3 linked regions of the Drosophila melanogaster genome follow. The protein of the gene in region 1 interacts with the protein of each later gene in a pairwise test. Each region holds a gene or a part of one and is shown on either strand. Other genes may lie near its edges.

The links.
Region 2: the proteins of aurB (region 1) and CG43347 interact in a two-hybrid assay, tested with the Drosophila melanogaster proteins (one large-scale study listed by BioGRID).
Region 3: the proteins of aurB (region 1) and CG6357 interact in a two-hybrid assay, tested with the Drosophila melanogaster proteins (one large-scale study listed by BioGRID).

What each region holds. Positions count from the first base shown.
Region 1 is NT_033779.5:10,856,148-10,859,602, forward strand, and holds aurB (aurora B), read right to left. Parts: upstream 1,948-3,455; 5' UTR 1,831-1,947; coding exon 1,697-1,830; intron 1,642-1,696; coding exon 924-1,641; intron 864-923; coding exon 726-863; 3' UTR 650-725; downstream 1-649. Other genes in the region: Dnz1 (DNZDHHC/NEW1 zinc finger protein 11), read right to left, coding at 16-131; Stam (signal transducing adaptor molecule), read left to right, coding at 2,688-2,730, 3,223-3,455. UniProt on the Drosophila melanogaster protein: Serine/threonine-protein kinase that mediates both meiotic and mitotic chromosome segregation. Required for histone H3 'Ser-10' phosphorylation. Phosphorylates mei-S332 within residues 124-126 and stabilizes its association with centromeres during meiosis.
Region 2 is NC_004354.4:10,617,105-10,621,785, reverse strand, and holds the start of CG43347 (uncharacterized protein), read left to right. Parts: upstream 1-1,595; 5' UTR 1,596-1,820; intron 1,821-2,789; exon of another isoform or gene 2,790-2,799; 5' UTR 2,800-2,920; coding exon 2,921-3,053; intron 3,054-3,176; coding exon 3,177-4,681.
Region 3 is NT_033778.4:13,838,160-13,842,343, reverse strand, and holds CG6357 (uncharacterized protein), read right to left. Parts: upstream 2,292-4,184; 5' UTR 2,267-2,291; coding exon 2,039-2,266; intron 1,970-2,038; coding exon 1,700-1,969; intron 1,640-1,699; coding exon 1,370-1,639; intron 1,312-1,369; coding exon 1,027-1,311; intron 964-1,026; coding exon 697-963; 3' UTR 601-696; downstream 1-600. Other genes in the region: CtsL2 (cathepsin L2), read right to left, coding at 3,126-3,855.

The sequences.
Region 1 (3,455 bases):
GTATGCATTACTCACCTGCCCGGCATGGTGGTCAGAATGATCCAACGGATGACCACATAGTCCGCGTACAGAACTGCTCCGTAGGTGACTACCAAGCAGGCGATGCCACAGGGATCTCGGATAAAAACCATTGCTCTGCTGCCTGCGTCTTGTTGGACTGACCTGGGTGATATTGCCTCTCCGCCCCTTCTATTTAATTCAATTAGAAACCGAAGGGGCTGATGTTCCTAGCCCCCCTCCCCCTGAAAATCGAGGGCCGAAAAATAACAATTGTTGCTGTAGTTCCTCGGCTCGTCTGGCGACCACCGATCCACTGCTGGGCGGGATACGAGGCTCCTGGTGGCGGTCTCGTCGGCTGCCGCACTTTGCCCACTCACTGCTGGGTGCACGATTCACAAATCGAGCGTTTCATCGAAATTTTAGGGCTTATTTTACGCTTGAAATTGTCATTTATTTATTTAGGGTGACCGTTTGCGGGAAGCGCGAAAATATAGCATGGCCCACGAACTGGAACTAAGTAAGGCATGGGCTTAGAAAAATTAATTTAAAAGGGGTTAAATTAGAAAAAGGTAATTTAAGTAAGTTACTACCAATAGATTTTTATTTTTAAGCAGTTTTCAGATTTCAAAAATATACTCCAAACTTCATTAAATCTTATAAACCGTTTATTAAACATAAAAGTAAAATCTGAAATAAGTCGTTACACAATGCAAACTCGAAACCAGTCAATTTCTGGCCGTGTTCTCCTTGCCGCGCTCCCGTTTCTGCAGCTGCAGCTCCCTTTCGGCCATTCCCGCCTTCACCCAATAATGGGTCATCACATCCACCAAGGTGATGCGGCCCTTGCTTTCCTTGCGAAGCAGCTGCAAAGATGAAATCCCTGTTCAATAAATGGATCTCAAAGGAAACATCTTCCAACTCACCCCGCCAATCAATTCCTTGCAGCCCTTGGACAAATGCGATGGGTAGGAGATCTCCATGCGCCGGATCTTGCTGTAGGTGCTCTCCGTGCTGTTCGACTCGAAGGGCGGACAGCCGACGACGAACTCGTAGCACAGAATGCCCAGGCACCACTGGTCCACCGAGTCGTCGTAGGAGTTCCCATCCACCATCTCCGGCGGCAGATAGTCCAGGGTGCCGCACAGAGTCCTGCGCTTGTTGTTCGGCGTGTGCGCCGACCAACCAAAGTCGGCCAGCTTAAGGTCGTCCGTGCTGGTTAGCAGAATGTTCTCCGGCTTCAGATCCCGATGGATCACGTTGTTCAGGTGACAGTAGTTGAGGGCATTCGCCACTTGGTAGGTGTACTTCGCAGACCGCGGTTCATCGAATCGATGATTGGGTGCGCCACGCAGGTGCTTGAACAGCTCGCCCTCGGACGCAATTTCCAGGGCCAGATAGATGCGGCTCTCGTCGTGGAACCAAGTGAGCAGGCGCAGGATGTGCGGGTGCTTCAGTCGCGACTGGATCTCGATCTCGCGTAGAACCTGACGCTGCACGCAGCCCTTGCGCAGCTCCTCTTTGAACATCACCTTCATGGCCACCAGATAGTGCGAGTGGCGCTCCCGCGCCAAGTAGACACGTCCAAATTTGCCGCGTCCCAAGTGGGCGCCCATCTCAAAGTCCCGGGGACTCCAATCGTATCTGGAGGGAGCAGATTAAGTACGGATTGATACATTAGCTTATTGCTTGTACGTACGGCTGTCCGTATGCGTCGTGGGACATCATCTTGAGGCACATATTCTTGATCGGCTCCTGGTGCTCCTCGGGCACCTTGGCCAGCAGGTGCGGCAGGTGGTTGCGGTTGGCGTGCTTCGCGCGGGAAAGCGTCATGGCGCTGACTTGTTTATAATATTATGATTTTTAAGTAAATTAATTATTTTAAGTTGTATTTTCTATAAGCGTCCCTTTTGTTTGCGCGTTTTTTTCGAATGCTGAGATTAGTGTGACCGCATGCTAGAATCGAGTTATTCTGTGACTCTCAGTGAAGCAGTTAAGTCACTGTATTTTTAAATTCGGTCAACGTATAATAAAATATTTTCATGTTTCTTAAATAAAAATTAATCTTCTAGTTTTGTTCTTATATTGTGCATAGTTATTATAATATACGCTTCTCACCCGTAGGAGAATAGTTTGAGTGAAGGGCATAGAAAACTGTTTAATTATTATAAACCATAGCTACCAGTGCTCAAATCATATCAGATGTTTAATAGATTTATATTATTAGTTGTCTAAATTTATTTAAATATACAATATCAATAATATTTATATGTATATATAAATAAAAATGTTTTGCATAATATAAGTCTCGAATACCTCTAACTAACCATTGAAAATGAGCTGCAAAAAATCCTTTGGATTTCCCGACTATTCGCAATCTGGCCACACTCGCCATTAGTCATTTTTTACACAATAAACGTAAATTAAGCGAATTTGCAAGCGCTATTCGGAAGTTTTTAGGCTAATCGAAAAGATATAAGCAGCCCAAAAGAGATTTGGAAAAAAGCGAAAAGGTCTACGCAGGAGGAAGTACACCAAAAGCGTGCTTTCAGTCGCCGTGACGCACCGAAAATCGATTGGAGAGGAAAAACAATAGGGAAAACAGACAAAGATCAACTGATTTGGATTTATTGACCCCAGGGCAGCGCAGATTATTGGCAGATAGCCGAGCGAGCGGTTTGGTCATAAAGATGGGAATCTTTGGGCAGTCGTCGCCATTCGACGCCGACGTGGGTGAGTTACCACTTATCGTTAAGCTGTTGTGTTGGCCGATTGGACAAGCCGATGTTCCAATTGGACTGCACAACGGTCCAATATGCGTTTCATAGTTTTCTATTCTTATCTGGGGTCTAAAAACCCGCACACCACACCATTTTCCCCTGTTTTCCCTATGAACCCGATCCCCCGATTGAGCAGACAACAAAGAAAGTCATGTGAGATGCTGTGCGCAGCTCTGCGTCGTTCGTTGAACTTCTTATTGGAGTTGTTAGATGGCAGTCGCTGACCTTGAGTGACGTAGCACCCGCAGCCCCTCACACCCCCTCCGTTTACGCAGCCAACCCCCTCGCCATCCCTTAATGCAATTTAGTTAGTTTCCGATTGTATTGATTTTCTTTAGCTGCAATCAGTTTTCGAAGAAGCTTATCTTTGTTTTGCTGTGACTCAGAATATAAATTTCTATTTGACTGATAAGCTAATGCGGTTCATGCCTTTCTTGTTTTATAGAAAAGGCCACCAGCGAAACTAATACCAACGACAACTGGTCTCTGATTTTGGATGTATGCGACAAGGTAACGACCAATCCCCGCCTGGCCAAGGATTGCCTGAAGGCGGTGATGCGCCGCATGGGCCACACCGATCCTCATGTGGTGATGCAGGCGATTACGCTTTTGGACGCCCTGTCCAACAACTGCGGAAAACCGCTCCATTTGGAGGTGGCTTCACGGGATTTCGAGACG
Region 2 (4,681 bases), on another chromosome or scaffold:
ACTTTGTTTGTCCACTGGCACACACACACACGCGTTGGCACACGCACACCACGACAAAGAAGGAGGACAGGCACACAAGGAATTTCAACCCCCAGCGAGAAGAATAACAACAACCCAGCACGGAAAAAATCGCTGCATACGTTCAGGCGGAGCGTGTCCTCTTTGGGGGGAATAGTAGTGGCGATAAAAGAGTGCGGGGGAGCGTGGGCGCGACGGCGGGGGAGCAGCGAGTTGAGAGCGGAGCAGGCGCAAGAAGAGCGCTCGAGAGAACCGGGGAGAGCGCTCGAAGGATATTCGAGAGCGACGCAGGCGCCTGGCCGCCAAAGCAGCGACGCCGGCCGAGGCATCGACGTCGCAGTCGACAGAACCACCACCACCCGCACGGGCACGGAAACAAGGAGCTGCATCCATCCGTCCGCCCATCGCCAACCATTACCACCCACCACCCCTTGATGGCGCTGCTGAAGCTGCCGCTGCTGCTGCTGCTGCTACTGCTACTGCTGCTGGTGGCACCGAAACACAACAAACCGTAAACCATTGGCGCTGGCAGCGACGTTGCGTCGGCGTTCGCGACTGTTGGAATGACAGGATGTTGGCTGCAGACTCAGCGGGGTGCGATTGTGGGCGGATGGGTGGCCCATGGTCAATGATGAAGGGGGGGCGGGGAGTGTGGGGAGGTTGGCGGCCGAACGACTGCTTCGCAGCAGCCTTACCACCACATAAACAAAAATTCGATTTATGACCACTGGTGGGAGTGGCACGGGCGCTCACGGGCTTCGCATGGATTTTTGGGGGTGGCGCCAATTCGCTTTGCTCCTGCCACTCGCTTCTGAATCCTTTCAAACTGCGAAAAATTACTGGGTTGTGTAAGAGTTAAATGTATAACATTAATTAATGCGGTGCTTAAAATTAGTTTCCATATACGTAACATAATATAAAAATATATCATAGAAGAATTTAGACCCTGAATCCGAAATTACTACTGGTTCTTTGTTAAAATTTAAGTGTTGCCACTTCAGCAAATTTGGAACTTTTTGGAATTTTTTTTTCGAATTTTTTCTAACAGTGCAATCGCGACTAATATCCAACCAGCAGAGTTCTGGTTATCGTTGTTGTTGCTGTCGTCGTCATCTCAATTCGCGAGTGCACGCACACATGCAAACGCGGACGGGCAGGAACACCCCCACACACGCTTACACGAACACCGAGAAGGAATCGCGACATCAAAAACAGCGACAGGACACGACGTCGAAGTCGCGACTTCAGCGAGGAGCTTTTTCGACAGTGCGAGCGCGAGAGAGAAGGGGAGAGAGAGCGGCCGAGAGATACTGAGCGAGAGAGAGAGCGAGTAAGCGCGTAAGTGAGAAAGAGGGAGAAAGGCTCTCCGTAAACCAGTCGCTTGATTGTGTGTGTGTGTGAGTGATTTTTGGGGTTTGGGGGGCTTTAGCGGCTTCGCAGGACTTTTTCGCAACGGAGAGCCGAGGAGGAAGTGGCGCTGCCGGCGCCGCCGTCTCTGTCGGCGTCGCTGCCTTCCGTTGCGACTGCGGCGAGGACATACACATAAATAAAAAGTCCTTCATTCCGTCGCGACCAGCGAGTAACGGCATATGAGCGCTCGCAGAGAAATCGCTAATCACGAACGGCGGACGACAAAAGCCCAAGAAGAACAGGCAGAGGGAAAAAAGAAAGCAAAAAATGAAAAAGGATTGCCAACAGGAGCAGCAGTTAAATAATTAAACAAGTGCCAGATCGCAAAACAACAGTGTGCAATTTTTTTTTTAACAAGTTATTTTCGAGTGAAAAGCCGTGGAAAACTGTGTGTAAGAAAGGCTACCAGCAAGAAGGCTCAAGGAGCAGAAGAAGGCGAGGCGTCTAGCACAGCCGACCCCCCACCACCCAAACCACCCACAACCTCCCCCCGTCCCCCTCGTCACTCAACGTGTATTGGCACAAGGCGAAAACCGCCACCGCCTCGCGTGCTCTCTCTCTCTCTCTATCGCCCTCTTTTCTCCCACTCTCTTTTTAGTCCTTTCGTTGGGTGTCAAACCAATACACTTGCACGCACACCCTCGTCCTCCAAAAAAAAGAAATAGTAACGAAATTATTGAAACAGCGAACACAACAATAACAACAAAATATCCAGGCAGCTTGCAAGTCACTTGTCAAAATCTAAAAAAACTGTTCTGTTTTTGTTTTTTTTTTTTCGTGACTATTGTGGAAATACAATTCTCAAAAATTCGCAAACTAACGTTGTGTGTGCGTGTCTGTGTGTGTGCGTTTGGAGTCTGAGTTTTCATAACAAGCAGCTCTCTTGGCCACAAAAACCCAACCGCAAGCCAAGAATATGCCACGAAAATAAGCAGATTGATTCTAAACGACACGTTCGAGTGATAGATCCCATGTTGTTTGACTTATTGAATATTCAATAACTACCAATAAAGAAATTCCACCGGGCTAGCGAAAAAATGCCGATAAAGTAAACATTCCCAATATACATAATAAAAAAAAGTGCTGGTGGCATTATTAAAAAAATACAAATATTAAAAACAAGAAAAATCAAAGTGGCAGAGTTGCCACCCGGCGAAAGGACAGAAACTTCAGCGAGTGGCTTTCGGTGAACGGTTTTTTTACTGCTACATATCTCGCGTAGCGCCTCCATCGCTGTCGCTGTCGCAGTCGCAGTCGGCGTCTGCGTCGACGTTGGCAGTGACAGCTCTGTCAGTTTTCAGTTTTTCCTTTTTGCTTCACACGTATGCTTTTTATTTCTCGAATAAAATAACAAAATACAGAAACCTGCAGTGTACAACTGAAAAGCGAGAATCTTTGTAAAAGCGATGCAACAGCAACGACAACAACGACAGCATCACCAACAACAACAAAAAGTGTAGTGGGTCGCACGCGCGACTTGTGTGTGTGAATAATGAAGAAGAAGCAGAAGCAGAAGCAACAACAACAGCAGCAGCAGAGGCAGAGCAAGGCGCCATCTGAAGCGGAATCGGAGGCAGACCGCCCCGGCAGCAACAGCAGCAGCACCAGCAACAACAAGCATTCGCGTCGCAGCAGCGCCGGCAGCAACAACAACAAATAGCAAAAACTTAGCAGCGTTCGGCAAAGCGCAGCAAAAGCAACAAAGGCAACACTAAAACTAACAGCAGCAACACCAATTGCAACTGCAGCACCAGCAGCATCAACAACAACAACAACCAAGCGGCGGCAAGTTAGCAGCAGCAACAACAACACTAGCAATCACAAGAACAACAGCAAACGCTGCAGTCGCAGCAGCAGCAGCAGCAGCAGCTGCAGTAGCAGCAGCAGCAGCAGCAGCAACGCTAGCGTCGGCAGCAGCATGTCCAAAACAAGTAGCGGTAATCCAGCAGCAGCAGGTGCAACAAATGCCGCGAATGCCGCTGACTTCAGTGCTTTCGATTTTAACGATAGTTCCGATAACTCCGACACTCCCCTCGTGCCACGCCCACCGTTCCTGAGTCGCGCCGCTGCAACGGCAGCCGCAGCAGCAGCTGCAGCAGCAGCGCTCAGCATCAGTAACAACAGCAACAATTCGGCGGGATCAGCGGGTCAGCTGCCGCACAGCACGAGCAGCAGTAGCAACAACAATAACAACAACAACAATAACAATGGGGCTAACTCCGTTAACAGCAACGCCAACAACAATAACTATGGCCACAGCAGCAGCAGCTCGCAGAGCAGCATGGACGAAGAGGAAGAGGACGACGAGGAGGAGGACGAAGAGGAGGAGGAGGAGCAGGATGTGTCGCAGCAACAGCAGCAGCAACAACAATTGGCGGCGGAGCAGCAGCAACGGGCTGCAGCAGCGGCAGCTGTAGTTGCAGCAGCAGTTAGTGCGCTGCACAACGGCAACAAGCAGCAGCACTACAACAACAATAATAACAACAACAATAACGGTAACACCAAGTCACGTGATCGCGCCGATCATCATCTGCAGTCGCAGCAGCAGCAAGAGCACGACGATGACGAGGATGACGACGAGGAGGAGGGCGAGGAGGACGAGGATGAGGATGACGAGGAGCAGCACCAGGAGCAGCAGCAGCAACATCAGGGCAATGGGCATGATCTCACGCCCACGGACCTGCGACATGTGATGCCGGCTAGCAACAACTTGCAGCAACAGCATACGCAGCAGCAACAGGAACCGGCTGCCTACGACGATGAGGGGGAGGAGGAGGACGAGGATGATGACGACGAGGACGAGGTGGCCAGCAGTCATCTGGACAGCCGCGCCACCCTCTCCTCCGGCCATCTGAACAGTGCGGCCGCCGCCGAAAGCAGCGGCCTGCACATGAGCGTTGCAGCAGCGGCAGCTGCAGCAGCAGCGGCGGCAGCAGCCGTTTCCGCAGCCAAGCTGAACGCCCAGCTGGAGCAGCAGCAGAGTGCCAATGCCTTGGACATGGCCAGCGGGAGCAGTGCCACGCCCATAGCGCCGCCACCGCCAAGTAGCTTGCTGGGCGGTAACAGCAACACAAGCTTCTCCACGAACAACAACAGCAACCATGCGCTAAGCTCGACGCACGGCAGCTTGGGTCCGGGCGGACAGGGCACCAATTGCAGCAACGATCTGATGGCCACCGGTGGCGGTAACTCCCGCGGAGGTTCCTCCCTCAGCCTGGGCATCAACTCATCCAGTGCAGCGGCGCTGCAGCAC
Region 3 (4,184 bases), on another chromosome or scaffold:
TGAAGATATGAAATGGTATAGGGCTTGTTCAAGGCTTACTGTTGCCACCCCCTTCCTACCAAAAGATTTGTATAGTAACTATAAATGCCCCAACAATACCCATTATGCATTGTAAAGAAGCGGTGTGTTGTCCACTTCGATGTACTCAGATATCAATGAATGTAAACATATTGATTACATAAAAACGTTCACTTAGTGCAGCAACTTGCGATAACCTACAAATGTATTTGTTAAATTAAATACTATATACATATATATTATATATATTTACGGATTGTATGTGTAATACGAATAATGCGCCCTGTTAAATGCAACAAGGAGATAGGGATCTCAGCAAATATACAAGTATAAATTAATCATTTAGAGTTCGTGTGCGTTATAAAACAAAAAGGTAGTGAAAGAAACATAAAACAAAATTTACTCATTTAAAACTTAATGATCGATTTAAATAGCGAACCCAGCCATAAAATCGGCTTGAACATTTGCGAAACACTATTGTAATAGATAAACTCCTCAAGCAAGATTCTCAACTGGACAGCCCCTCAAGAAATAATAATAAATACATATTTTTAAAAATTAACCCAAAATCACTAAGGTATTCTCTTTGCGTTAGTAGCAATATTTTTGCGTGTATTTAAAAGGTGACAAACATTTCATCTGAAAATGTACTCGGTACAATATCTTATCATCTAGTTTTTAAAAAACATTTTTTTTGTATTTCTTCTCCTTGCTTATTTTTGTAGTCGTTTCTTCTTTTGAAAACTCTGGAGCTAAATTAGGTCGTTGTTTGGTTTTCCACTCTTCTACAGTTAGATCACTCCACTGATTTATGCCCTTCTTGAAAGATTCCACTCCCAATTCGAACTGCTCATTGTGTTCCTGAATCGCTTTCCAATTGTCGCAAAATATAGTTCGGCGTTTTTCTGTTTCTTTTTCATCTTGATATTTCGCACCGAAATCAATCTGTAATAAAGATATATTCATTCAAATTCTCAAATTCTATTTACATTGCAAGCCAAATATTACCAAAAACTTTTTCCATGCTGCCTGACATGTATTATCATCCCTCTTATCCTTAGATATTTTTGTAGTAGCTTCAACTTTAGAAAACTCTGGATTAAAAGCAGGTCGTTGTTTGTTTTTCCACTCCTCAACGGTCAAATCACTCCACTGATTTATACCCTTCTTAAAAGAAATATTTCCCAAATCGAATTGAACATTGTGCTTATGTATCGACTTAAAGTTGTCGCAAAATACATTTCGTCGCTTTTCGGTTTCAGTATCATCTTGATAAGACGGCTTAAAGTCAATCTGCAATTGATAAAAGCAACTTTAATAAAAATTCTTTAAATACCCAACCATATCTTACCAGGAACTTCTCCCAAGCCGGCTGGCATATGATATTATCATTATCTATTTCGGATGTAGATGTAGTGGCTTCTTCCTTACGAATCTCGGGAGCAGGACTAGATCGTTCCTCAATAGTATGATCAGTCCACTGATTTATGTCCCTCTTGAAGGGCTCTGCCCACTTTTCATACTGCACATTGTGCTCCACAATCGCCCTCCAGTTTGCACAAAATACATTGCGGCGTTTCTCGGTTTCATTTGCATTCTTATACTGCGCTCCAAAGTCAATCTGTAATTCATATCATACATATTAATACCAAGTTGGTTTTAATAACCTAGCTAATCTTACCAAAAACTTTTCCCATGCAGCCTGGCAATTGACTTTGTCTCGCTCCTCCTTTGATGATTCACTAGCGATTTCTGGCATAACTTTGGGAGTTTGTTTCTCTTTCCACTCTTCAAAGGTAAGATCACTCCACTGGTTGATACCCTTCTTGAAGCTGACAACTCCCAAATCGTATTTCAAATTGTGATCGCGAACTTTTTGCCAATTTTCGCAGAATATATCACGTCGCTTTTGCCGTTCGTAGTCATTATCGTAGTGTACATCAAAGTCGACCTTGGAGTGTATACAAATAACTTCCTTGAACGATACCCTTTCTTGGAATTATGCGATCAAAAAACTTACCAAGAACCTTTGCCATGCAAACTGGCATTCCTCCTCGAACTCAGATAAGCCAGAGGTGTGTTCAATTGTGGGTGTCGATGAGTCAGCGTCGCTTTTCCCAGTAGTAACCCCAATCTCTGGATTGATTTTTTGTGTAGCAGGTGATGATGTGCTTACTGGTACGCCCAGAGCCACGCCCATCAAATACAGGAGCAGTGGGACGCCAAGTAAAATTCGAGCTGAGGTCATCTTGAACACTTTTCTCGTACTGCGCTCCGCACTGCCAGAATCGCGAATTATATGGGGAATACATACATATATAATTGCAAGTACTCAAAATCAGCTGCATTCAGAGAGAAATCTAAATAAAAACCGACAACGAGAGCGATTTCTTTTGCTCTCTTTTCTCTTAAGTGTTGATCTTTTAAAAGAGTAACTGCATTTACGTGACCTTGCCCACCAAATATATAACAACTGGCATAATTGCTTTATGATTTGTTGCAATAGTATTGAATTAAATTAATTTGAAATTTAAGCCCCGTTTTTATACCCATTACTCGGCGGGAATACTAGGCTCGTTGATAGGAATGTAACAACTACATTCTAGATATGTATGTGTTTTCCACACAAATGCTGTAAACAAACGTTACGCTGCTTGCAGCTTTTTCTGATTAACGGGTATGCATTAGTCGTGACACCCGACTGTAGCGTTATTTCTTGTTTATATTAAATTTGTCGCAAATTTACACGGTTATACGGTTATGTGTGCATTGTTCATTTTCTATCCACTTTGCCAAATTGAAATTTATTACTTTCTCAAACAACTTCCCACACAGCGTTGTTCTTCATTAAGAAAATGTTTCTCAAAAAATAAATAAGACCGAAAATTAATTTTTGTGTGCATAGCCGTTAAGACTACGATCCAATTTCTCAGAATTTCCCCAGAAAGCAACACAAACCGATAAGGCACTTGTTTCATTTATTAACCGCGTGACTCATGGAATCGATGTGGTGACCCACACAGCTTACGACTACAGTAACAAAGTTATAAATTCGTGGTTTTTAATTGACTATACTATCTAACTAATTGCATGGCGCAGTTGTGAGCCTACAGAATGGGGTAGCTGCACTCGCTGGCGATGCCGCAGAATCCACCTGCATTCCGGAGGATGCGCATAAAGCCGCCCTCGCCCCAATTCTGAGAGTACGAGTTCTTGATGATCCAGTAGTCGCGTCCATTTTCCGTTCCATAGCCCACCACGGTTACCGAGTGATTCAGTTCGCCCTGATTGCACTCCTCGTCCTCGTAGATGCCACCGCTGTACTGCTCAAACGAAATGGTGTCCGCGTTCATGGAGCACGCCAACGGTCCCAACGTGGCAATCACCTCCTTCATCTTCTCCTCATCCCCGGGAGTAATGGTGGCATAATCGCGAATTTTCACCAGACTCTCGCGCGGTGGACGTCCGGCGGTTTCGTTCTGACGGCACTGCATCTCCGTCTGTGTGTACGGATATTTGTTGGCCAGCGTTACACCGTGATCGCGTATGTACTCGAAACCGTACTCCTGGAAGCCACCGTCACAGCCCATGTTGCCGTAGTCATCGGCACAGTCCACCAGATTCTGCTGCGACAGCGAGGCCAGCACTCCAGTCCGCCGGAATAGATGTCCTTCGAGCGCTCCTGTGGTGGCGAACGACCAGCAGGCACCGCATCCCACACCCTGGAATCCCGGTGGCGTCACTCCGCCCTTCTCGCGCCAATCGAACATCTCGGGAAGATTGGCACTCGCCGGATTCCTGGCAGTCACAAAGTTGATATGGCCATTCGTATATCTCCTGCAAGGTAAGTAAAACATTTTAGTATTCCGTTAAGCAAAGATTAAAGCAAATTAGTAGCTTACTTAAGTGGCAACCAGACTACATTTAAATGTTATTCATAATGTTCTTAAATGTATGACAAACAACCGATAAGTTATGAAACATTTGTTATGGAGCTTCGTCGTAATAAATAAGTTCGATATGGAAGGGTTTTGTTTGTTTCCACCCATTTGGTTATAGTTTTCGGGAAACCACAAACCTATGGTCGGAATATTTGATCAATTCTGATTTCTTGATTAGCATAACCGGGAAACCAATCGGCACCTACGTAACGTTACAAATCATAT